Linked DNA regions of Tamandua tetradactyla. The protein of the gene in region 1 interacts with the protein of each later gene in a pairwise test. Links are inferred from orthologs where the notes say so. Each region holds a gene or a part of one and is shown in the gene's direction. Other genes may lie near its edges. The genes, in order: AAGAB and AP2S1.

What was found.
Region 2: the proteins of AAGAB (region 1) and AP2S1 interact in binary tests that used the Homo sapiens proteins (3 or more experiments, as listed by UniProt). The link is inferred for Tamandua tetradactyla from reciprocal best matches to the Homo sapiens genes AAGAB and AP2S1.

The regions. Positions count from the first base shown.
Region 1 is NC_135340.1:84,518,874-84,531,889, reverse strand, and holds the start of AAGAB (alpha- and gamma-adaptin-binding protein p34), read left to right. Parts: upstream 1-6,783; 5' UTR 6,784-6,821; coding exon 6,822-6,894; intron 6,895-13,016. Other genes in the region: IQCH (IQ domain-containing protein H), read right to left, coding at 6,500-6,550. UniProt on the Homo sapiens protein: May be involved in endocytic recycling of growth factor receptors such as EGFR.
Region 2 is NC_135342.1:14,398,971-14,411,500, forward strand, and holds the start of AP2S1 (AP-2 complex subunit sigma), read left to right. Parts: upstream 1-5,950; 5' UTR 5,951-6,125; coding exon 6,126-6,128; intron 6,129-9,444; coding exon 9,445-9,594; intron 9,595-12,530. UniProt on the Homo sapiens protein: Component of the adaptor protein complex 2 (AP-2). Adaptor protein complexes function in protein transport via transport vesicles in different membrane traffic pathways.

The DNA.
Region 1 (13,016 bases):
TTGCACAAATTGTCATGTAAGGCCTTCAGGGCTCACAGATTGAAATCTGAACATACCTACTGCTTTCTTGTAGGCACCAAGGATGAAGATGTACTTCTTTCCATTAATTTGTCCAAATTACTGCTGCAAGCTGATTTACCATTTATTATCTAAAGACATTTGGAAAGTACAAAGAGACAGTTCCAGGGCAAGTCCCACTTCCAGGTCCATAATTTGGTTCCTCCTTCAAATGCAGTGAATTTCCCTTTTCTAGTATTTGTAGCTCTGTGTGTTATTCTACAATTATGTCTGTCACCTTCTGGGGGAGTGAAAACAGCGCTCATCAGAGAAACAAAGATTTGGTTTCTTCATCTGCCTTGTGCGAAAATAATACTTCTGTATAGAGCTTTGTGATGATGATATACATAGTACCAGCTGAATAAAAGGCAGCTAAAAAGAACTCCTAGCTCTACTACTTATGAGTCACATGATCTCCATGAATGGTATCCAAATTTTCTGAACCTTTAATTTCTTCATCAAGGATAAAAACCAAAATAATTACTCTACCTCTTAGAACTGACGAATGAAAATGAGGTAGTGCATGTGAAAATGAATGAATACAGGCTTTGGAATCAGGCAAATATTAACTGGTATCCTACTTCCTTCTTTACTAAATGATCTTGAGAAAGTTTACTGTGATGGTTTGGAGCTGTACGTAGGGCCCCCCGCCCCCCGCCCCATGTTCTTAAATTTAATCCATTCCTGTGGGTGTGTACCCACTATAAACAGGACCTTTTGATGAGGTTACTTCAATTGAGGTGTGGCCCAGCCCAATCAGGGTGGGTCTTAATCCTATTAATGGAGCCCTTTATAAGCAGAATGAAATTCAGACAGAGAGAGCAAGCCACAGAAGCAAGAAGCTAGAATTCAATGGAACCTGGAAGAGAACAGAGAGGCCAGGAGAGGCCACCATATGCATTGTCATGTGACAGAAGAGACAAGGACTAATGATTACCAGCAGTCAGCACCAGAACCCAGTCTTTGGGAAAAGAGCCTCCCCTTGATGACATCTCAATTTAGACTTTGATTTAGCTTCAAATCCATGGGCAAATAAATTCCCAGTGTTTAACCTGACCCATTTCCTGGTATTTGCTTGAGCAGCCTAAGGAACTAAACCAGTTACTTAGTCTCTTAGAGGCTTAGCTATCTCATCTGAAAATGAGGTTTTATTGATATCTACCTCAGTATGGTGGTAAGAATAAAATGAGTTAGAGTATGTAAAATGCTTATACAGTACTAGGAGGGCACTCCATAAATATTAAGTCTCTCCTGAATTGTAAACCCAGTGAACCTTCTTGCACAAAACTGGTGCTCAGTAAAGTGTTCACTGAACTGCTTCTTTAATCTTACTGAAGAACTTTTTACTTTACTTGCCAAATATTTCCTTCTCCCCCCTTAATAACCACCCATGTGCCTGCCTGTATAATTGCAATAAAGGCAAGTACTGTAGAAGATGTTTCACAAATTTTGGGTAGCAGAAGAGATCTTAAATTCTAAATCACTGTTCTTTCTTCAAATAGATTCAATCTATCATATTGAAATTTTACACATTACCCATCATCTCCGTGATCATTAAACACATGGCTTTCCGTATATTTCCTACTTGGAGGAAGATTATTTGACAGTTTGGGGACAGGGCTGCTTAATAAAGAATTGAAAGATTTAATGCAGCGAAGATATGCTCTAGAATTCAAAAGCACCATGAAAACAGGCTCCTTATTATTAGAAGCAGCCTCATAATTTCATTTTATTCTTTTCTGCTAAATATAGAGTTTGGTTGAGTCATTTTCATCACTTCTAATTATTTTTAGCTTCATTCGTTTTTATATTGTATGTTCCAGGCAAACCAGGCAGAGGGACTGATATCAAATTAAATTGTCAATGAGATCCAGTATTTCCACGGTTGGTATGAACCTATTACCTGGATTTTTTAAATAAGATTTCCAAACTAATCAATAAGCTAATTTTGATTGCAAGACTAGGTACTTCTTGTTGCACCAAAATATGTTTAATAGTTGGGACAAGCAAGCATTTGTAAAGTTATATTAAAAAAGATACCATATTATTACTAATGAAGAATAAACACAAAGCCTCTAAGAGCCACTAATAAAAGAAAGCACCTAGGAAACCTCCCTGGGACTACTATCACGTTTCTTCAAGATTGTTTTACATACATGCCATAACCTATTAAGGATCAACACACAGTGGTTGTATGACCTTGGGCAAGTTACTTTACCTCTTCTTTGCACCTTAGTTTTTTTTTCTATATATAGAGCTAAAAATAATTTCTGCATGATAGGATTGTTGTTAGGATTTAACGAGACAATCTAAAGCTCTCCGCACAGTGTCTGGCTCCTAATAAATGTTGGCTACTATTTTAATTATGATGATTATAACTATAATAAAACCTCACTCTTTCTAATTAGTAGAGAAAAGAGCTGGCTAAAATTGTAAAAAGTCTGATTTATAGACTTGAAAGTGATAGAAGTTAAGTAGTTAACAGAATGCTGCCTAGTAGAACTCTATATAAATAGGGTGATCACATTTTCTGAACCAAAAATGAAAACATGCACTGTGATACACTATCTGACAATGAGACAAAATATACACAATCAGAACTATCCTGGAAAATCCAAACATAAGGAACATATTTTCATAAGTCACAAAAAAGAGTTTATAATCAGAATACTGATTATTTGTATTTAAAGATTTTCTCTCAAGTATTTTAGATATTTTCTCAAAACATTGCTTTTACAGTTAATTTGTACCATCTATGAAAAAAAAGGTTTTCTAGATAATGGTAAATATCAGCATAGCTCCATTCATTTTTGAACCTAACATAAATTATTGAAGACTGAATTAATGAGTAGGTCATTATTCAACTATCCATTATCTATTGCCTAATCCTGTGCTGGAATAATGGGATATCCAAAAATCCAGCTTGTAATTAAGAAGGAAATAAGGCACACCTTGTTGCTAAATAACACCTACAAATAAAGTTCCACTTAAGAATGGAGTAATTCTAGTTAAAAAAGACAAGTAGAAATCAATTTTTCCTCATCTCCCAGAAATTTAGGAGTAAAATGCAGCCCTAACCTAAAAAAGACAGAGAACTACATAACATAAAAGGGCAAGAGACCAGACCTCACAGTTAACATTTATTGAGCATTATACTGTATATGTTAGCCTACATCTTAATCTTTACAAGATTCCTATGAGAGATTTAATATTATTATCTTCATTTATACTTGAGGGAACCTAAGGTTTAAAGGGGTTAAGTGCAAGTTAACATATTTGGCTACTTGGTAGAACTATCCAAATTCAGGTAGTCTGACTCTAGTACCTTCATGCTTAACCATTATGTTCTTTCTCAGAATAAAGACGTATTATGCTAATAAGCACCTCATATATAAAGTTAAATTGGTGAAAGTTTAGTGGAAAAGGCAGGGTTTAGATATTCAGTGTAGTGCAAAGCTGCAAGAGGAAATTTTCTTTTTATACCAGAATGATGAATTGAAAAGGGTTGAGAAGAATGCTTGCATTTTCTATGTACATTGGCCTACTCACAATACTCATGAAAGGCAGTGGATGAAAGCACAGAGTCTAGAGCCTTCTGCCTTGGGTCGGCTCCTTGGTCTACCATTTACTGGGTTACCCTGAATAAGTAACTTAATATCTCTGGTCAGTTTCCCTTCCATAACATGGGGATAATAATATTTCTTACTTAGGAATCTTGTTGTAAGGGTTAAATGAGTTTAAAGACATATAGCACTTAGGGGTGCATGGGTGGTCCAGTGTTAGAATGCTTGTCTTTCATGTGGGAGATCCAGGTTCCATTCCCAGACCATGCACCCCCACCCCCACCCCCCAAAATATATATAGCACTTAGGGTAGTGCATGATACATAGTAAATGCTATGTTAGCTTTATTATTACGTTTCTTTGAAATTGTATTGTGGATTATATTTTACAATTTGAAGTAATGGCTCTCAAACTTGAGCATGCTGCAGAATTAACTGAAGTGTTTATAAAAAAAGTTTGCTGGGCTCACCCTTGAAGTTTCTGATTCAGTAGGTCTGGGTTGGGGCCTGAGAACTTATACTTCTCACAAGTTCCCAGATGGTACTTATGATGCTGGCCTAGGGACCTCTTTGAGAACCACTGGTCTAAAGAGTTACTTACTGTCTATGATGAAACACAGACCTAATATACCACATTAGGGTGAAACAAATGGTGACAGAGTATTTTTTGCTTTATAGGCAATCATGTATATGTATACATATATATATATGCAACATTTCCACACATATTTATACGCAATCATGTATATATAATTATGCACACATAATTGCCAGAAACAATTTGATTGCCTAAGCTAACAATAAAGAGAGTGTACTTTACAATAAAGAGGAATCATGTAGCTTTGAGGAAACTGGGTCAATTTAGTCAGAAATGGAACTAATCCAAGCTATGTATTCTACAGAAGAGGAAACTGAGGCCCAGAGAGGTGAAGTGACTAGCCCAAAGTTATCCACCTGGGGGAATATTAGAGCCAGGGTGTGGTGGTTAGATTCAGTTGTCAACTTGGCCAGGTGAAGGCACCTAGTTCCGTTGTTGCGGACATGAGCCAATGGTACGTGAACCTCATCTGTTGCTGATTATATCTGCAGTCGGCTAGGAGGCGTGCCTGCTGCAATGAATGAGTTTGACTTAATTGGCTGGTGCTTAAATGAGAGAGCTCAACGTAGCACAGCCCAAGCAGCTCAGCATACCTCATCTCAGCACTTGCAGCTCAGCCCAGGCCTTTGGAGATGCAGAAAGAAATCACCCTGGGGAAAGTTGTTGAAACCCAGAGGCCTGGAGAGAAGGCCAGCAGAGATTATCCTGAGCCTTCCCACGTAAGAAAGAACCTTAGTTGAAAGTTATCTGCCTTACAAATTTCCTCATTATAAATATTATACATATTAACAAGGAGAATTTTATATTATATGCACAGTAAGCCTCAATCATGTTAACATATAGGCTCCCTTTCTCTAACTAGCAAGCGGGACTGCTGACTAGCAAGAACCTTGATTATTCTTAGCTCTTCTGATTCATTGTTCAATTCAGTGTCAACTCAAATTAGCAGGCTGATTAAATGATTCCCTCTGGATCCCACTTCGAGGTTAAAAGGCTTCTTTTTGGCTTTTCAGTTAACATTCTGTTCTACACTATACCAAATCACAATGGGAACAGTTTTGGGATATAGAATTATCAAGAGTAGGTGATAATTCGGCACAAGGAGGCTTTAGGAAGATTCTCCCCAGATTCTGAACAGTTTTTGGAGATCTCATAGGTCTGGAGAAACATAGGAAACTAAGGAGAAATGTGTTTCTGTAGACAGTATGAGGCATACTGTAGGGGAAGAACTGTTCTTTCTGGGTAGGAGTTGCCATTAATGTCTCAACTGTTCTGCGTTTGTAAAGACGGGCCCTAGATTTAGAGGGTGGGGAGTGAAAGAAAGGATGAAAAAGGATGAGATAAGATGTAGGTATGATTCATAATGGGGTTAAAATGGTTGAGTTTTGGGGCTTGTGTTTTGGAAAAGGTGAGTTTAGGAAAGTTTCTGCTAAATGGAAGGTAAGAGACCAAAATCCTGACATGAAGATCAATTAGACCATCGACGATCTGGGTGACTGTCCTGATAAAGTGACATTAGGCAAATCACATCAAGCCTTAGGCAAATAGAGCTAAATATGAGTTAAAAGTGATAATACGTTTAACAATTTTGTAATTATGATATATACCTGGGAAAACAGGTATATTTCAGAAAATGTTGCAAAATTGGGTTACACTGGAGAATTCAGGACTTTCTTGATATTTCCCCCTCAGTTTAGAAAAAAAATTTCCCTGAGTTTTAAAATTTATCACATTTCTATATTGAAAACGTTAGCTTGATTTTCAACGCAAGTTATCTTTAACGTATTCTCCTAAGTGTGTATTCCCAGGCATGGGACTCCCTCCAGATCCCCAAGCTGCCGGATTTGTGTCCTCCACCCCCGACGTCATGGGTGCAAATTTTTCAGAACATAACATTTTTAAATGGTACCGCAGAGCAAAATAGACTTTTCTGAAGTAAAATTTCCCAAGTGAGGGCGATGAAACGTGTGTTAGGTCTTACGAGTTTTACCAGAGCCTGAACTGTCGTGCTCTGTGGAGCGCAACCTCCAGGTTAAGGCAGGGCAGTGAAAGTGTGTGGGGAGGTGGGTGGGGAAGGGAGAGGGACGGCTGTGGCGAGTGTTGGGTCCTGAGCGAGATCTGGGTGAGCCTGTTTCGCAGTTCTCTGAGGGGTGGAGTCCCTCATTTGGTGGAAGGCAGTCTCAGTGCGGGCCCCGAAATGGGCTTGAGCGAGTGAATCGGCGCTGCTGGGCGTCGCTCGTAAGTGTTTAACTGGGCAGCGCTGAAGGAGGCCGGTTTCCCACCTGGATTAAGATGGATCCGATGGGGTCGTAATTTTCAGTCTCCTCTGCCATGGCTAAGGCTGGAGAGGATTACCCTTCTCGCGGAGGCGCAGTCTTCAGGCACTGCACCTTGTACTAGGGATGCTCATCCCCATGGCAACACCAAGCGCAGCCTGGCCTATACCACGCCGGGAGCGGAAGAGAGGGAGGAGGGGGGAGTCTGGGCAGCCGGTGAATTCCGAGAATGCGCTCTAGCTGGCGTGTCTCCCCCGCGCAGTGGCGGCCGTGGTGCAGTCCAAGGCGGAAGCGGCTCCCAGACGGAACCGGCTTGCAAAGCGCGGCGATGGCTGCGGGCGTCCCCTGTGCGCTTGTCACCAGCTGCTCCTCCACCTTCACTGGGGACCGTCTGGTTCAACGTGAGTAGCAAGGGAGTCGGACCCATCCCCAAGGTTCCTGAGCCTCGGCGGGCGAAAGTCCCAGGACCCGGCCTCTGCCTGGGCCTTGCCCCTCCACGGGCCTTGGGCCCTTTCTCCACCCAGTGCTGGCCCGACGCTTCCCGGGTCGAGGCCCCCAGCCACCCGCCGCCCCACATTAACTCTTAAGCTGGTTGCTTTTCTGCCCGTCCGGCCCACTACTGTATTACTTCCAGTTTCTTCTGTAAAGTGGAACTAATCCCCGCCCAGTCCTCTCCACCTCACCCCACCGGTTGATACAAAGATCTAGTGAGATAACCGAAAGGCACCCTGGAAGCTGTACTTGAGCGAGTATGAGGTGCAGGAATTTTGATACTGTAATTTTGACTGATGTTCCTATTCTTGAGATAGAGTATGTTTTCTCTGAATTTCATGTATGTTAAATTACTTGGCTACCATTTGATGTATATAAGACTTGTGAGTTTTGTCCTCTCTTCTCGGTAGTTATTCTCTGCTTTACCTTCCTTTTGAGGCATAGGCTCACTGCCAGTATTTTTTCAATTTTTTGTATGCCTGAGCCTAAGTCCTTTGCTTCTGGACCATCACAGTGACTGTCAAACTCAGTAACCTTTAAAAGAAACTCTAGACGAGGAGACAGTTGTAGAGAGAGCATGGGCCTGGGTCACAAGCTCGATTCTGCCATTAAAGAGCTTTGTGAAGTTGATTATAACTGAAGACACCTGTTTTACGCATATGGCTTTGTTTTAGAGCACTGGCTCTTAGCTGTGTGATACTGGGCAAGTCCTTAACCTCTATAGGCCTTTCAGTTTTCTTAACTGTAAAATGGGAATAATTAATCCAGTGGCTGGCACATGGTAAGCATTTGATTAATGGTAAGTCTATTATAGCACATTCCCTCTCTGATCCTTAGTAGGTGATGCAATATTTTTTGGAAGCCCTTTTTAAACTGTAGAGCATCATACAGCTATATATTTTTTCTGCACTCATCAAATGACAGAATTAGACATGATGTCCCTCCAGCACAAATATTCTGTGACTTAGTTATCATTTGTGATCACTTAGAAAGTTCCTTGCTAGGGTAAAAATTTAATTACAGTACTTACTGTTAACTAACCACTCTAATTGTAGATTTCCTTACCTCTGAACGGTGCTTCTATTTCTTTTTCTCTCCCCTCCCCCCTTTTTAAAACACTAGTGTTTCATTGTAAAATGATAGATAAAGTTTCACGTGGAGAAAAGAAATTGTAGTCTCATTACTTTTAGTCTCATTGCTCAAGAATAAATACTGTTGACATTTTCGTGCATTTCCTTCCTAATGCATAGTTTTCCTAATGTATAGTTTTTTTAAAAAAATTGCAGTTGCTTTTCATTTACAGTTTTTTCTTGATTTTCTCACTGAGCATTACATCATAAAGTTAGTTTCTATCATAAATTACACCTAGTGAACATACCTGAATTTGTTGAAGAGTCTTAAAACTCTTTATATATTTATATCTCCAAAACACTTATTTCCATTAAGTTCCCATATGCTATATGAAAATCCTGTCAATGTCAATCTCAGAAGCATGATGACCATGGTATTAGATCATATACTTTTAGGAGAACTGGCAGATATGGTCACTGCCTTGAAGGTGCTCATTATCTGCATTTGATGAATAGAAACATTATACATCTCTAAAGTATATTAGAATCATTAGAGGTACAATTAAAACTGTAAGATAATCCACTTTATTTTTGTCTTTCTTAGATAACTTGAAAGCCAACTCAGGTTAAACTTAGGTGATTTTTGCTTTGCTATTGTGTTAGTGCTCCATGGTAAAAAAAAAAAAAATAGAGCAATTAGTGAGCAGATTACTTGAGTAAGAAAAAGTGAACTTTGAAAGAGGGCTTTATGTGGTAGAATGCTCACCTGCCACATGGGAGACGCTGGCCCATGCACCCCCGCCCCCCCTTCAAAAAAAAAAGAGCTTTACCATTTCTTCCAAGGTTAAAGAATAGGGTAGAGGTGGAAAGCATTAGAACGAAGTATTTGTTGAGCATTCACTCTATGTTACCATCATTAAAGATTGAGTTAGATCACTCATTTGAATCTCATTTTGGGATAAAAGGTTTAGACTGACAAAGACTTCTATCGCTCCACCAGGCTATGGCCCTTCTCCTTGCATGCCCCTATCCACTCCCTCCCTGGCCCTGTCTCCCTTGAAACTAATATTGCAGCTCTGGGACACCGGGAGGGGTGGGGGTAAATAAAAGGGAAAAAACAAGTCAGATGCTAGCTATTTCATAGTTATCAACTTTAGTTGCTTCCCCCCACTTCCCCATCATGCGTTCTCTTCTCCAGGTGGCCTAATTATTACAAAAGAAAACATTCTAAGCTATGTGGTCCTAATTGAACCCTCAATAAATCACTTACCCCTCTCTCTCACTTCCATCCACCAACCCATTCCCTGCCCTTTAGGAACGTGCCATCCTTTGATTCAGCAGTTGAGTTCCATTCTCCCCTACCATAGTAACTATGAATCAAGTCATCCATGACTGTTTCAGTGTCCAGTTCAGTTTTTTCTTTGGCAAGAAGACCATAATGAATGCTTTTTTTCAAGTATTTAGTTATAGTAAGTCATAGTATGGGTTTGGGTTGAATCATATCTACCTTTTTGAATAGGTTTGGTTTCTTTCCATACAGCAGGAAGAGGAACCTTCAGGGTTCCTCCAGTTTCTATTTTCTTCTAATGCCTGATATATTTTGCTGCTTTTAATTTCCCAATAATGGGAAATATTGCACAATCAGATAACCAAGTTCGTTAGAAATATATGTGTAAAATAAAAATCAGTAGATTGCTATCTAAGGATAAAGTGCCTACATGGACTTTGTGAGAAACCTTTTTATTCTCTTTAGGGGAAAAAAAGAAGGCCCCACTCAAAGACCTTGTTTGCAGTATTCTGGTTGGATGTCTGACATTAGATAAAAGGAACATTATTAACTTATAATGTAGACTTTCAAAGGAAAATGAAAAGATTAACCCCTAAAAGAAGGTTTTAAAATATGCCCACTTCATATCCTTTTCAGAATGATTAAAATCTTAATTCTGATTGGAGAGAAAAAAGTTCAGCCCAGAGAACCTGCATTTTTTTTTAACATTTTTTATTGTGGAATAGAACATGTATAACAAAAAAGCAGTACATTTCAAAGTATGTTTTAATAAGTAGTTATAGAACAGATTTCAAAGTTTGTTATGGGTTACAGTTCCATAATTCCAGGTTTTTCCTTCTAGCTGCTCCAAGGCACTGGAGACTAAAAAATATCAATGTAATGATTCAGCAGTCATACTTACATGTTAAATCCCAACTTCTCTGTTGTAACGCCTCTTTCTCCTTTGATTCTTTTCCCAGTCTCTAGGACTATTTGGGTTATGCCCATTCTAACTTTGTGTTGAAAAGGGGTATTGACAGTATGGGGTAGGGGGATGGAACAGCTTGATGTTCTTGGAGAGAATGGCACCTCTGTGTTTCAGAACTTTTCTGGCCTTGGAACCATCTCAAAGTTTTAGGTCTCTGAAAAGTAAAATTAGTGTTTGCAACTTTTGTAGAATTGCAGATAGAGCCCTGGGAGTTCTTTAGGAACAGGAATGATATTGGTTGGGGTTTGGCAAACCATGGCAATTTAGCAATATCTAGCTGAAGCTTCCATGTGAATAGACTCCAGAATAGCCTCTTAACTCTATTTGATATCTCTTAGCCACTGATACCTTATTTTGTTATGTTTGTTTTCCCTCTTTTGGTTATAGAACCTGTATTTATAAAAGAGCATTATGCATACCTGATAGTATTTAACAATGTTTGGATTTTTATTTTCTCAATTGAGTGCCCTCAACATAGAGATATTATTAGTCACTCCTACTCTGTATTATTAATGTTTTGACTGCTGTAACCAAAGGAAAAAATACATCCTTTCCAACATCCCTTCCAGATCTAAAATTCTGAATTATAGTGTTAATTACTTATTATGTTATATAATGCTTCTTAACTTTACCGTGGCATTCTTAATTTTTTAAAAACTTATTTTATTTTTTAACTTTGTTTTGTGACACATGCAACTCAAAATTTCCCATTTTAACCACTTTTAAGTGTAATTCAGTAGTAGTATTTACATTCACAATATTATGCTGCCATCACCAGTATTCATTACCACAAAGTTTTCACTACTTCAAACAGAGACTGCATCCATTAAGAATAACTTCTTCCCCCACCCTCTCCCACTGGTAATTTATAATCTACTGTTTGACTCTGTGAAATTTACTTCTTCTCGGTGTTTCATATAAATGAGATCACATAGTATTTATCTTTATGTGTCTGCTTATTTCACTCAATGTGATGTCTGCAAGGTTCATCCATGTTGTAGCATGCATCAGAACTTCATTTTTGTGGCTAAATAATATTCCATTATGTTCTAGTTTGCTAGCTGCCGGAATGCAGTATACCAGAAATGGAATGGCTTTTAAAAAGGGGAATTTAATAGGTTGTTAGTTTACAGTTCTAAGGCTGAGAAAATGCCCCAATTAAAGCAAGTCTGTAGAAATGTCCAATCAAAAACCATCCAGGGGAAGATACCTTGGTTCAAGAAGGCCGATGAAGTTCAGGGTTTCCCTCTCAAGTGACTGTGGCACATGGTGAACACAGTCACGATTTCTCTTTCAGCTGGAAGGGCACATGGCAAGCACGGCGTCATCTGCTAGCTTCTTTTCCTGGCTTCCTGTTTCATGAAGCTCCCTGGGAGGCATTTTCCTTCTTCATGTCAGAAGTCTGCTGGCTAGTGGGCTCTCTGCTTCTCGTGGCTATGTCGTTCTTCTCTGGTTCTCTCTGAATCTCTCTCGTTCTCCACAATGTTTCCTCTTTTATAGGACTCCGGAAATTTATCAAGACCCACCCAAATGGGTGGAGACATGTCATCACCTAATCCAGCTTAACAACCACTCTTGATTAAATCACATCTCCAGGGAGATGATCTAATTAGTTTCAAGCATATAGTATTGAATAGAGATTATTCTGCCTTTGTGAAATGGGATTTAGATTAAAAACATGGCTTTTCTAGAGGATATACATCCTTTCAAACCAGCACACATTGTGTGAAGATAAAACGTTTTGTTTATCCATTCCTCCATTAATGGGCACTTAGCTGTATCTACCTTTTGGCTGTTGTGAATAATGCTACTATAAACATTGATATACAAGTATCTGTTCAAGTCCTTGCTTTCACTTCCTTTGGATATATACAAGAAGTATATATTCTTGTATATACTTCTTTCCAGGGCATGTGGTAATTTTATTTTCAATTTTCTAAACAATCACCAAACTGATTTCTACTATGGTTACACCATCCTACAGTGCCACCAGCAATGTGTAAAACTTCCTATTTCTCTCATATTTTCACCAATGCTTATTATTTTCTGCTTTCTAAATACTAACCATCCTAGTGGGTATGAAGTGGTATCTCATGATTTTGATCTGCATTTCCCTCATGACTAGTGATGTTGAGCATTTTTTCATGTGCTTGTTGTCCATTTGTATATCTTCTTTAGAGAAATCAAATCTTTTTGCCTATTTTAAATTGGGTGATTTGTCTTTTTGTTGTTGAATTTTAAGAGTTCTTTATATACACTGCATAGTAAACCCTTAACAGATATGTGATCCGCAGTTATTTTCTCCCATTCTGTAGGATGTATTTTTTTAAACTTTTTAAATTGTAAAATATAGCATACATACAAAGCAAAGAGAGAAAAAAAGCAATAATTTTCAAAGCACAGTTCAACAAGTAGTGCACAATGGATCCCAAGTTTGTCATGGGCTACCATTCTATCTTCTCAGATTTTCCCTTCTATCTCCTCTAAAACACTGGAGACTAGAAGGAATATTAATATAGTGATTCAGCAGCCATACTTGTTTGTTAAATCCTGTTTTCTTTGTCATACCTCATTCTCCTAATCTGTAGGGGTTTCGGGCAATGCCTGTTCTAAGTTTTTCAGTTGAGGAGGGGTGTCCAAAATAAAGGACAAAGGGATGTAATTAACTGATCATCCTGGAGAGGCTGGTCTCTCTGAGATTTGGAA
Region 2 (12,530 bases), on another chromosome or scaffold:
GCTGCCAGAATTCAATATACCAGAAACGGAATGGCTTTTAAAAAGATTCTTTTAAAAAATAATTTAATGAGTTGCTAGTTTACAGCTCTAAGGCCAAGAAAATATCCCAATTAAAACAAGTCTATGGACTTGTCCAATCAAAGGCATCCAGGGAAAGATACCTTGGTTCAAGAAGGCCGATGAAGCTAAGGGTTTCTCTCTCATCCAAGAAGGCACATGGTGAACACAGTCACGGTTTCTCCCTTGGCTGGAAGGGCACATGGCGAGCACAGCATCATCTGCTAGCTTTCTCTTCTGGCTTCCTGTTTCATGAAGCTCCCCGGGAGGCATTTTCCTTCTTCATCTCCAAAGGTTGCTGGCTGGTGGACTCTGCTTCTCGTGGCTCTGTCGTTCTGCTCTGCTCTCTCTGAATCGCTTTCATTCTCCAAAATGTTTCCTCTTTTATAGGACTCCAGAAACTTATCAAGACCCACCCAAATGGGTGGAAACATGTCGTCACCTAATCCAGCATAACAACCACTCTTGATTAAATCACATCTCCAGGGAGATGATCTGATTACAGTTTCAAACATAAAGTATTGAATAGGGATTATTCTACCTTTATTAAATGGGATTTTGATGAAAACATGACTTTTCTAGGAGACATACATCCTTTCAAACCAGCACACACATATATATATATTAGCCATTTGTTCTAGTTTGCTAGCTGCCAGAATGCAATATACCAGAAACAGAACGGCTTTTAAAAGGAGAAATTTAATAAGTTGCAAGTTTACAGTTTTTTAGGCCATGGAAATGTCCAAATTAAAGCAAATCTATAGAAATATCTAATCTAAGGTATCCAGGGAAAGATACCTTGGTTCAAGAAGGCTGGTGTCATTCAGGGTTTCTCTCTCAACTGCGAAGGCATATGGCGAACATGGTGATGTCTGCTGGCCTTCTCTCCAGGCCTCTTGCTTCATGAAGCTCCCCAGGAGGCGTTCTCTTCCTTCATCTCCAAAGATCGCTGTCTGGTGGACTCTGTGTGGTTTTCGTGGCTCTGCTGTCATTCTAGTGGATCTCCCATCTCTCTGTGGTGGTTCTGAGGCTTTCTCCTCATTCTCAAACGGAACTCTCTCCAAAATGTCTCCTCTTTTATAAAATTCCAGTAAACTAATCAAGACCCACATAGAATGGGTGGAAACACGTCTCCATCTAATCAAGTTTAACACCCACAATTGATTGAGTCACATCTCCGTGGAGATAACCTAATCAAACCTCCAACCTATAGTCCTGAATAGGGGTTAGAAGAAACCGTTGAATCCACAAGATTGATTAGGATGAAAACATGGCTTTTCTAGAGTACATAAATCCTTTCAAACCAGCACACCATTTAAACTGTCTCTTTTGTGAAGTGCCTGTTCAAACCTTTTGCCCAATTTTTCTATCATATTAGATTTTCTTTTCTTTTTAATTACACAATGCATGAATTTGTCCTTGTAAAAATTTAAAATACCCCAGCTAAGATTCAGGTTCCTTAGACAACCCACCCCAATCTCACTTGCCTCTCCAGAGGTGTGTTTTCTTCCAAACCTCTCTCACTACATTTAGACACATACAGTATAGCATAGTGGCTAGAGGCATGGACTCTGGAGCTGGAATGCTTGGGCTTGAATCCCAGCTCCACCATTATGATCTGTGTAATCTTGGTTAAGGTACCCAACTTCTCTCTACCTCACTTTCCTCATCTGTAACATGGGACACCATGTGCCCCTGCTCTAAGAAGGACTCCACATCACTTCTGTGATATTCATGCCAAAAATGTTAACCTGAATCTATTTATTGAAAAACATCAGACAAATTCTAATTGCAAAGCCACTGACCCAAACACTTCAAAATGTGAATGTCTTAAATGACTATTTGAGATTAAAGGAGACTAAAGGAACACGATGACTAAATGCAACCCCTGACCTTGAATTGCATTTTGGAGCAAAAACAAAATCTACAGGGGATGTTACTGGAAAAATCAGGGGTTTTTTTTCCAGTAACATCCCCTGTTTACTAGGTAATGGTAGAGTAGTAAGGTTAAATTTTCTGAATGCGATTATTGTATTTTGGCGATGGAGGAGAATGTCCTTGTTCTTAGGAAGAATATGTTGAAGCATGAAGGCTTTGGGGTGAAGTATGAAGGTACCTGCCACTAACTAAAAAATAATTTAAATGGTGAAGGAGAGTAAATCTGGCAAAATGTTAATGATTGGCAAGTCTAAGTGAAGTATATATTGGAGTTTATTGTACTGATATTGCAGCTTTTTTGGTGAGTAGGATTTCTTTCAAAATACAAAGTTGGAGAGATAAATAAAAAGAAAAACCAAGTAGTATAATGTGACAGTATCATTGTGCACCTCCCATTGCTTTAACATGTCTTGGGGATGATCCATGTCAATGCATGAAAATCTAGCTGATTTATCTTGTTTTAAAAAAAATTGTATTGAAATATCTTCATGAACCATACAGTGCATCCAAACTATAAAAGCAATGGATCATAATATCATCACATAGTTGTGTATTCATTGCCATGATCATTTTTAGAACATTTGAATCACTCCAGAAAAATAAATAAAAAGAAATATATATATATATCCCATACCCCTTACCTCTCCCTCTCATTGACCCACTACTATTGCAGTCTACTCAATTTTTCACCCCTTATCCTCTCCCTATTCTTTATTTTTTTGTCACTTTTTAAAAATTCATCTCTTCATACCCTGGATAAAAGAAGCATCAGCCACAAGGTTTTCACAATCACATGGTCACGTTGTAAAAGCTATAGTCATACAATCGTCTTCAAGAATCAAGGCTACTGGAACACAGCTCAACAGTTTCAGGTATTTCCCACTAGCCACTCCAATACATCATAAACTAAAAAGGGGTATCTGTATAATGCATAAGAATAACCAGGATAACCTCTAGGCTCAGTTTGAAATCTCTCAGCTACTGAAACTTCATTTTGTCTTTTCTCTCCCCTTCTTTGGTCAAGAAGATTTTCTCAATCCCATGATGCCAGATCCCAAACTCATCCCCCAGAATCATGTCCCATGTTGTCAGGGAGAGTTATAGCCCTGGAAGTCATGTCCCATGTAGGGGGTGGGGCAGTGAGTTCACCTGCCGAGTTAGCTTAGAGGCCACATCTGTGGCTTATTCATTTTAACAGCTGTGTAATACTTTGTTATGTGACTGAATCCTGGAATAGGTGACTTCTCTCCTATTGATACATGTTTCATCTGTTCTCATTTTTTTTTCTACAATAGTAATGGCCATGACCAAGAAAAGAATTTTCCCAGGGACCATTCTAAAGTAGAAGAGTTGGGACTGATACTTCTTGTCTGTCTATGGCATCTAACCTCAGACTCCAAGCCACTCAGATCATGAGGACAGAGATGAAGTCTGCTTGATATTCTACCCACATTTCTTCTCCTGCTTGAATCCTCTGTCCCCTCCCCTCAGTAATCTACTGATCCTTCTTCCGAGGGGGACTTCTGGGATGAGATCATAAAAGACATTTCAACTTCCACCTTGCCCTCTCTTGAGTCCTTCATTTCGGGGGGAAATAGCTGCCATGTGAAGATGCTCACATGTATTTATGGAGAGATCCACTTGGTGAGCAGCTGAGGCCTCCTGCTAATGGCCACACTAGTGTGCAGGCCAGCAAGTGAGCTGTTTGGGAAGCAGATCGTCCATCCCCAATCAAGCCTTCAGATGACCACAGCCCTGGCCAACTTGCTGACTGCAACCTCATGAAAGACATCAGGCCAAGACCACTAGCTAAGCTGCTCCTTAATTCCTGACTCACAGAAACTCTGGGAGACACTAAATGTTTATTGTGGTTTTGTGCCACTAAGTGTTTGGGAATTCATTACACAACCACAGAGAACCAATACAACACTCAAAGTATCCTGTAGTTTTTCATCACAGGATTGTTATTTCTTATCTATTTGTGTAACATCATTTAAACCTATGCCCCATTGCTAGGCCATGAATGCTTTCACAGCGGGATCAGTACCTGTTTTCTTGCTGCCGGTTCGTTCTTCCATTCATTCATTCATTCATTCAGCAAATGCCAAGTGCTACCTATGCTGGGCATTAAGATGAGTCCTGGAGATCAAGACCAGAACGAATGTGAGGCAAATTTAGTGCCCAGGGAACACGATTTAAGGAAGCACTCACTTTCATCCTCATGCAAGGGCTGAGTGGACACCTCAGAGTGAGCGCCTTTTAACTTTTCTCATTTTTTGTGCATGAGTGATTTTTTAATTTGACACCCTGGGTGCCTTACTTGGTTCACCCTAGTCCAGCCCTGTTGGTAATGGAGCAGTGCAAAAGTCAGAATAATCTCTGGGCTCTGTTTGCCCTTGTGTTGAATAGCCACTCATGTGTTTGTTCTTCTGTCAATATCACATTTTCAACTTACATACTTTGATAATATGGTGATTATTATTAGGGAAATTATGCTCTTGTTACTAATTCTAATTATTTTATTGGGTGCTTACTATGTGCTGACAATCTTCTAGGTGATAAAGATAACAGTTAACAGACAGGAGCCCTACTCTCAGCGAGCTCACCACCTCACCTCATGGGGGATCTAGACGACATACACACACAGACAAATAAAATCATTAATAGTTGTAATTACAGCTATAAAGAAACCAAACTAACAGCTAATCTAGAGAGAAATGGAGGGAGAGAGCTTTTTTCTTTGAAATATATAGGTACTCATTTACTAACAATCAACTTTTAATATCTAGGATTATAACAGTAACATTAAGTATGTTCCTGAAAGTTACAAGCTAAACAATGAAAAACTCTAAAATTAGAAATCAGGGTCCTGCACCCCTTCTCAACTTGAAAAAGTCAGAAGAGGCATCCCCCCCAAAATCTCTATAGATTGGGAGAAGGCTTAAAGGAGACATTAGGAGGTACAACAGAGAAAATGGGATTTCACAAATAAGTATGACTGCTGAATCCCTATATTAGTATTCCTTCTAGCCTCCAGTGTTTGGGAGCAGCTAGAAGGAAAAATCTGAAATGGTGGAATGGTAGCCCATGACAAACTCTGGGATCTGTTTTGTAACTACTTGTTTAAATGAGCTTTCAAAATTATTGCTTTTTTCTTGCTTTGCTTTATATATAGACATATATTTCAAATAAAAATAAAAATTCAGGGTCTTATATGTAGGTTTGCAGAGGTGGTAATTCCAGGCCAGCCATGGAAACTATGGGGGAAGGCGCTCCAGGGAACAGCAAGTGCAAAGGCACTGAGGTGAGAAGGCACTTGCATATTGGAATCACTGAAAGAAGACTAGTGTACCCCTGGCTAGGGAGTGAATGAGAAAACCCTATCACATGACATCGCTTAACAGTGAACATTCATAACGTTAAAGCATTTTACTTGAGCACTTTTTATGTGGCGGGCACTGTGTTAACTTTGGAATCTTTTCGAAGCTTTAAAACCACCCGACCAAGACAGATATTATGATAATCCCTGTTTCCCAAATGAAGACTTGAGATTGGAGAGGTGAAATCCCTGGCCAAAAGTCACCAAGGCTAGTGCGAGGGCAAGATTTCCACACAATTCTGACTCTCAAATTCACTCTCTTAAGCCACTGACCATCTCTTACAGGGAAACCTTCCACATATTTAAAACAAAGCACTGCGTGAGCCCAGAAAGACACTTTCTCGTTTCCTACCACAAATTTCTTATTCAAAACGTGTGGGAGGGGAAGGGGAGCTCTGCCTTAACTACATTTCCCAGAAGGCAACACTCACTACGATGGTTGTCATCCATGTCGGGAATTGTAGTCCTCTGAGGAAATGTTCCCCCAGAACTCTCCCCATGCAGCAGGGAAGTGGGTAAAGGACAGTCGCGCAGCATGCTGGGAAGAGGACCAGGCTCTTTCCCCACATAGCTTGCGTACGGATGTACAAACGCTTTCGTGGAACTACAACTCCCAGAGGGCCGTGCGCGAGAGGGCGAGGCGGGTCTTTTACCGGAAGTCCGCTCTGCCCTGGGCCCCCGACAGCAGCCAGAGCCGGAGCCACCCAGTCGCCACGGGATCTGGGCCACTGGGGTCCGGACGGGGGTCGCCATGGTAACGGGGCGTGCCCACGCCGGGGACTGGCGGAGGGGGGTCAGCGTGCAGACACCTGGGCGCTAACAAAGCCCCCAGCCACGGCACGATGGTCTGGGCCCGGCGCGGGCTCGCAGGGTTGGGGCTGATCTAGGATCGAGAAAGGAGGGACAGGGTCGTGATTCTGCACGCGGGGGTGGGCCAGGGTCCCGAAGCGAGGGGGCATTGGAGACGGGAAGGGTATGGCAAGGGAAGAGGGCAATACAGGTGGGAGACATCGGAGGCGGTTGAGGGTGTTTAAAACTGGAGAGGTAACTCTCGAGGAAGGGTCTCGGGAGTAGGCAGACGGCTCTGGAAGTGGGGAGCGGGCGTCTCAGAAGGAGGGCTCTCCAGGGAGGAGTTAGGAGCGTTGGGGAAGAAGGGGAGACATTGAAACAGGGCAGGGGGGAGGGCAAGAGAGAGCAAGCCGGCCTTGCAGGCTAGGAAATGGAGTTGAAACTGGGGCAGGACACTGCAGATGGAGGGAGATAATCTCCAGGGGAAGGGACTGGATGCTAGAGGCCAGAAGTAAGGCACTGCAGGGAATGGGGCTTTAAATAAATCAGGGAAAGTATGCTGCAAAAAGGAGAGTGAGTGAATACTAGAAATAAATGGAGGTGCATTGGGGCAGGGCTTTCCAAGAGATGGGTTCTTTGTGGATAGGAAGTAGATGTACTCTTGGAGCAAGGACTGAGCATTGGATTTGTGGAGGGGGCTTTGGAACAGGAGAAAGGGCCTCTGGACAGGGAGTTAGGAAAAGAGATGAATGGAGGAAGGGGTCAGAACAGGATGTGTGTGTGGTGGGGTGAGTCTCCCCAAGGAAGTAGTACCTTGAAGGCAGGATGGTGCCTGTTAGAACAGGAGAGGAGTTGAGTCAGAGGAGGGATGTCTCAATGAAAGGACCAATTGAGGTCAGAGAGGGGGAATTGAACATGAAAAAATAAAGGTCAAAAGGGAATGTCTCAGGCAGGCCACGGTGGCTCAGCAGGCAAGAATGCTTGTCTGCCATGCCAGAGGACCCGGGTTCGATTCCCGGTGCCTACCCATGTAAAAAAAAAAAAAAAGGGAATGTCTCCAGGGAAGATGGAAAGGTTGGGGGTCATTCAGAGGGATGAGGGTACAGGAGGGAGGGGGTGTCTCAGAGTAGATTTCCAGAGGTGGAGAGATTCTAGCTGGGAGGAGAAACAGGGAAAAGGTATATGAGAGCACTTAGGGGTGACAGGCAGAGCCCTCCCTCAGCTCTGTAGGCCTGCTTCTAGCACCTCTGGCTCTGTCCCCAGGCTGTGGCTGCCTGGTGTGGATCCTGCTCTCCCACCCCCATGCCCATATACTCCTTCCTGCCCTGCCAGGAAGTGGTTTTCCTTGGTTCAGCAGAAGAGGTTCTTGGAAGTAAAGTGTAATATCCTGTTCCCTTCCAGCTTGATTGGTTAGGGGAGGAGAGGTAGAGCATATGGAGAAAGAGATTTAAGAAAGAGGCTGAGACTCCAAGTAAAAGATGGAGGCTCTACAAAGCATGTTAAAAGGGTTCAGAGCAAAGCTCTGCTTTCTGCCTTTGGAGACTTCCTTTCCTTGTGCCTTGGATTCCTCACCTATGAAATGGGCATAAGCATGCCTGTCTCAACCAGAAGTGAGCCCAAAGGCAGGCTTCCGAGCTGGGTGAGTTTGGGCCCTGGTTTTTCTCAAAGCCAAATAATGATGAATTATAATACTAATAAAAACTAATACTTACATGACATTTAACAAGTGCTAGTCCTATACTACACCCCTTATGTTTATTAACTCGTGCAGCAGTCCTGTGAGGGAGTTATTCTTATTGTGTCCATTATACCGAAAGAGCAAACTGAGGCCCCTAGAGGTTAAGTGACTTAACCAGGGTTACACATCTCACTAGCAGTGAATGCTGGGACTCATTCTGGCTCCGCTATGTGTGCATTTAGCCATTTGGCTCAAATGCGTCCCGGTCATAATACTGGCTCATTTTACTGAGCACTTTTGGCATTAGCTCATTGATTTTTTACAGCAGCCTATGTGGGTTGACCTGGCCTTGCAGTAGTGTCATAACAAATTTTCTCTCGTCAGAACAGATGAGAATTACAGCTGACACTGAGCACTTACTCTCAGCCTTGAATCAGGTGCTGAGTGCTTCTCACCTCTTGTTTCCTTATCACATCCTTATGAGAATCTATTTTCCAGATGAATAAACAAAGGCACTAAGCAGTTAAGGTACTTAAAAAATGGCAGATACTTTGGAAAACAGTTTAGCAGTTCCTAAAAAAAGTTGATCAGCTTTACCAGTGGCTTAGCAATTCCACTTCTTGGGTCTATAGCCCAAGAATTGAAAGCCGGTGTTCAAATAAAAGCTTGTATACAAACGTGCATAGCAGGACTATTCACAACAGCCCCAAAGTGGAAACAACTAAATGCCCATCAACAAATGAGTGGGACAAACAAGTTGTGGTATGGATGGCCGTGCGATGGGATTTTGTTCTCCCATAGCGAGGAAGGAGTGTCAATACAAGCCACCACATGGCTGAACCTCAGAAACATCATTGTGATGTAAAAAAAAAAAAAAGCCAGGCACAGAGATCACTTAGTATGTGTTTCCATTTACCTGCAATGTCCAGGATAGGCAAATCCATAGAGTCAGAGAGCAGATTTGTGGTTACTGACGGTTGCGGGTGGAAGCGGAGGGCAAGCTGGGGGATTTCTCTTTGGAGTGATGAAAACGTTCTTAGAATTAGATAGTGGTGCTTTTTGCACAACTCTTTGGATATGCTGAATTGTATACACTTTAAATGGGTGAATTTTATGGTGTATGAATTATATCTCAATTTTTTTTAAATTAGTAAGGGGGAAAAAAGTGGCTGAGCCAGGACTCAGACACTTATTGAGTGCCTGCAGTGTGGCAGACACTGAATTAAGTTTATAAACATTTAACCCTCAAAACAGCCTGACAAGGAAGGTCTTCTTAGGAAATGCATTTTGTAGGCGAGGAAACTGAGGCTTAGAGGGATAGGGCCCTTGTCCAAGTTCCCGCAGATGAGAGGTGGTAAAGACTGATTCTAGCGGCTTCCTCTCTACTAGGTGGAAGAGAAGTCACTCCCTGGGTGTTGGCAGGACTGGGGATGAAAGGGGAGGCCAGACCCCCGGAAGGGCAAGCACAGAGCAGCAGAGAGGGGGGACCCCTTCTTCCCTGTGTGGGTGGGGCAGCTGGTGTGCCCTGCCTGGCCCGTGCCCTCCTTCCTGCCCTCCCTGCCCTGCCACCCGCCTGCCTCTCACTTCCTCCTTCTGTCCCCAGATCCGCTTCATCCTCATCCAGAACCGGGCGGGCAAGACGCGCTTGGCCAAGTGGTACATGCAATTTGATGACGATGAGAAACAGAAGCTGATCGAGGAGGTGCATGCAGTGGTCACCGTCCGAGATGCCAAACACACCAACTTTGTGGAGGTGACGGACCCCCCTGCACACACACACACACCTGCCCCCGACCCCTTCCTTCCCTGCCTGCTGCCCTCCCACTGATGGCAATCACCCTTCAGACCCTCCTCCTTTCCTACACTCATGCATGCGATGCATTTTGACTTTTAGCTTTCTCTCCTTTCTTTTCTTTTTACTTTTCACTGTGAGCATTTGCAAGCGTATAGATGACTATAATGAGTGAAAAGTTGGTTGAGGATGAATATACCTGCCACGGATCTAATTGGTATTATTTTGCCATCTGCTCTACCTTTTTCAGTTTTCGCTAAAGGATTTTTTTCCTGGTCCCCTTTTAACCCTTATTATAGAAATTTTCAAACACCTGAAAGGAGATGGAAAAGAGTAGTGGACCTCCAAGTGCCCATCCCCCTTGCTAAAGCATTTTGAATTAAATTACACACACCCTAATGTTTCTCCCCTTAGTATGTCCAGTTGTATCTGAAAAAATGAAAGCATTTGCTTACGTTGCCACAGTGCTATTATCGTACTGGAAATATTAATAATAATTTCTTATCATTGCTATCATGCCCAATCAATATTTAAATTTCCCCCAATTTTCCCAAATGAGTTTTTAAAAATGATTTGTTCAACTCTTGTTCAACTCTAGTAGAAAATCTTGCCTTGCTTTTGATTGCTGAGTCTCCTTGCTATGTCTAAAGCTATGTCTTTACCTTTTCGTTCTCACAACATTAACCAGAGCAAGCAGACTGTCCTGCAGAATTCGACAAATATTTTTCCAGGGTCTACTGTGGGCCAGGCACTGCAGATACAGCGGTGGCCAAGACAGACGAAGTTCCCAGCCCTCGGGTTGCTGTCATTCTAGATGGGGGGTGACACTTAAGCGTATGGTGTCTCGGGTAGTGACGAACACCAAGGAGGAAACTAAGCAGCCACAGGAGTGAGTCGTGCTGGGGCATGCGTGCCATGGAGTGGAGGGCAGTTTAAATATTTTGGTTGGAGAAGGTCTCAGTGAAAAGGTGATTCCAAGACCTGGAATCGAAGAGAGCAAAAGGAGCTGCTCTATGAGGGAACATTTCGAGCCAAGGGGGCAGCACGTGTGAAGGTCCTGAGGCAGGGACATACCCCGGGCATTCTAGGAAAAGCAAGAAGTCCAAATGTCTGAGGTGGAGTAAGCCAGGGAAAGGGTGGGAGGAGATAAAGTCAAAGATGTGACGAGGACAGATGGCATAGAGCCTCGTGGGCTAAAGTGAGGACTCTGAGTGAGATGGGAGCCAGAGCAGAAGTACGGAAACCACTTGGGAAACAACCCCAGTGGTCCAGCTCAGTCTTATTGATCACTGGAACCATGATGGGAGCACTGGAGGTGGCAGAAGTGTTTCGGAATTGGAACCAACTGAATGGAAAAGGAGCCAGGAAGGATGTCTAGATTTTTGTCTTCTTCAGCCAGTAGGTTGGAGCTGTCATTTTTAAAGTGGGGCAGACTTTGGAAAGAACAGGTTTGTGGGTGTAGATCAGGAGTGAGGTATTGGGACAGTAAGATTCAAGGTGTCCATTACACATCTAGGCAGAGACATCCAGGAGGTAGTGATAAGTCCAGAGTTCAGGGGGAGAGCTGGGCAGATAGCAAGATTGTGGAAGTTTCTGCACATCACTTATTAAAGTCATGGAACTCACCAAGGAGTGAGGATAGAGGAGAGTAAAGAAGAGAAGAGGACCAAGGCTGGCTCCCCATCTGGAAGTAGCGTGATGGGGGCTTGGAGGATACCAGCTCTCCTGGTGCAGCCTGCTGCCCACGCAGTCCCAGGTCCTATGCTGAGTGCCGGGAGGGATACATATTTGAGGGACCAGGAGGGGGTTGGTAAGGCCCAAAGAGACCAGAAACAGCCTAGAGGAAGGTGTAACCAGAAAGATCGGCCAATCAGATGAGAATGTCACACAGGGACCCGGCCCTCAGCTCTTAGGATCTCCCAAGGCCCAGGCACACTGCTTATACTCTCATTCATTCATTCATTCATTCATTCCAATCCTTGTGTGCCTCCACTGTGCCAGGCCCTGGGCTGGGCAGTGCTGGGGACACAGCAGTGACCGAGACAGCCCCAGATCTACCCTTCTGGGGCTCACAGCCCAGTGAGGGAGACAGAACCAACCCAGACAGGGACTGCCCACCATGGTCAGGACTGAGAGTGGTGAGCTGGCGTGGAGAGGGAGACATATCTGAGAGTATGTAGCAGGGGAAGAGATGAGGTCTGGGGCAGATCCCTGAGGAGCCTGGAAATGTAAAACAGGAAGAGGAGACTGCAAAGGTGGAGCCAAAGAGGCTAGAGGGAGCCAGGATGGTGATCGCAGGCGAGGGAAATGCCAAGAAAAGAGGAGGGCTCATCTGAGGTCACACCGCCTATGAGTAGAAAGCCTATTAGGCACCTCCAGATAGATGTCTGGTCGTCCCGACTTCCCTCATGAGTGTGGAACCCCCTAGAGGAGCGGTCTTCAAACATTTGATCAGATATCTACATCAGTTGAAAAAAAAGAAAAGTAAATTTCACACCCCGATGCATGCTTCCTTTTTCTCCCATGAATTGTGTTCAGGCATTACAGTAGTAATATTTTGGAAAATGAACTCAGAGTATAGAAATTAATCAAAGGAGGGGCTGGGGGTAAAAACCTCCAAGCGATAACGTCAGCTCTCGCAGTTGCCACCAGGTGGTGTGACACACCCCGCGGGACTGGAAGGGAATTTTCAGATTGTGTGGCCAGGAAATCTGTGGCCCTGCAGCAGGCGTATTTATTCGTGGGCTATATTTGCATATATTACAGTTTAGTGAGGGCAGGGTCAGGGCTGTGTTGGAACAGTGTTGACCCACAGGGCCTGGCACACAGTAGTTACTCAGGAATGTTTGTGGAATGCCTGAATATATGAATTCCAGGCTAATTTTGACTGGATCCAA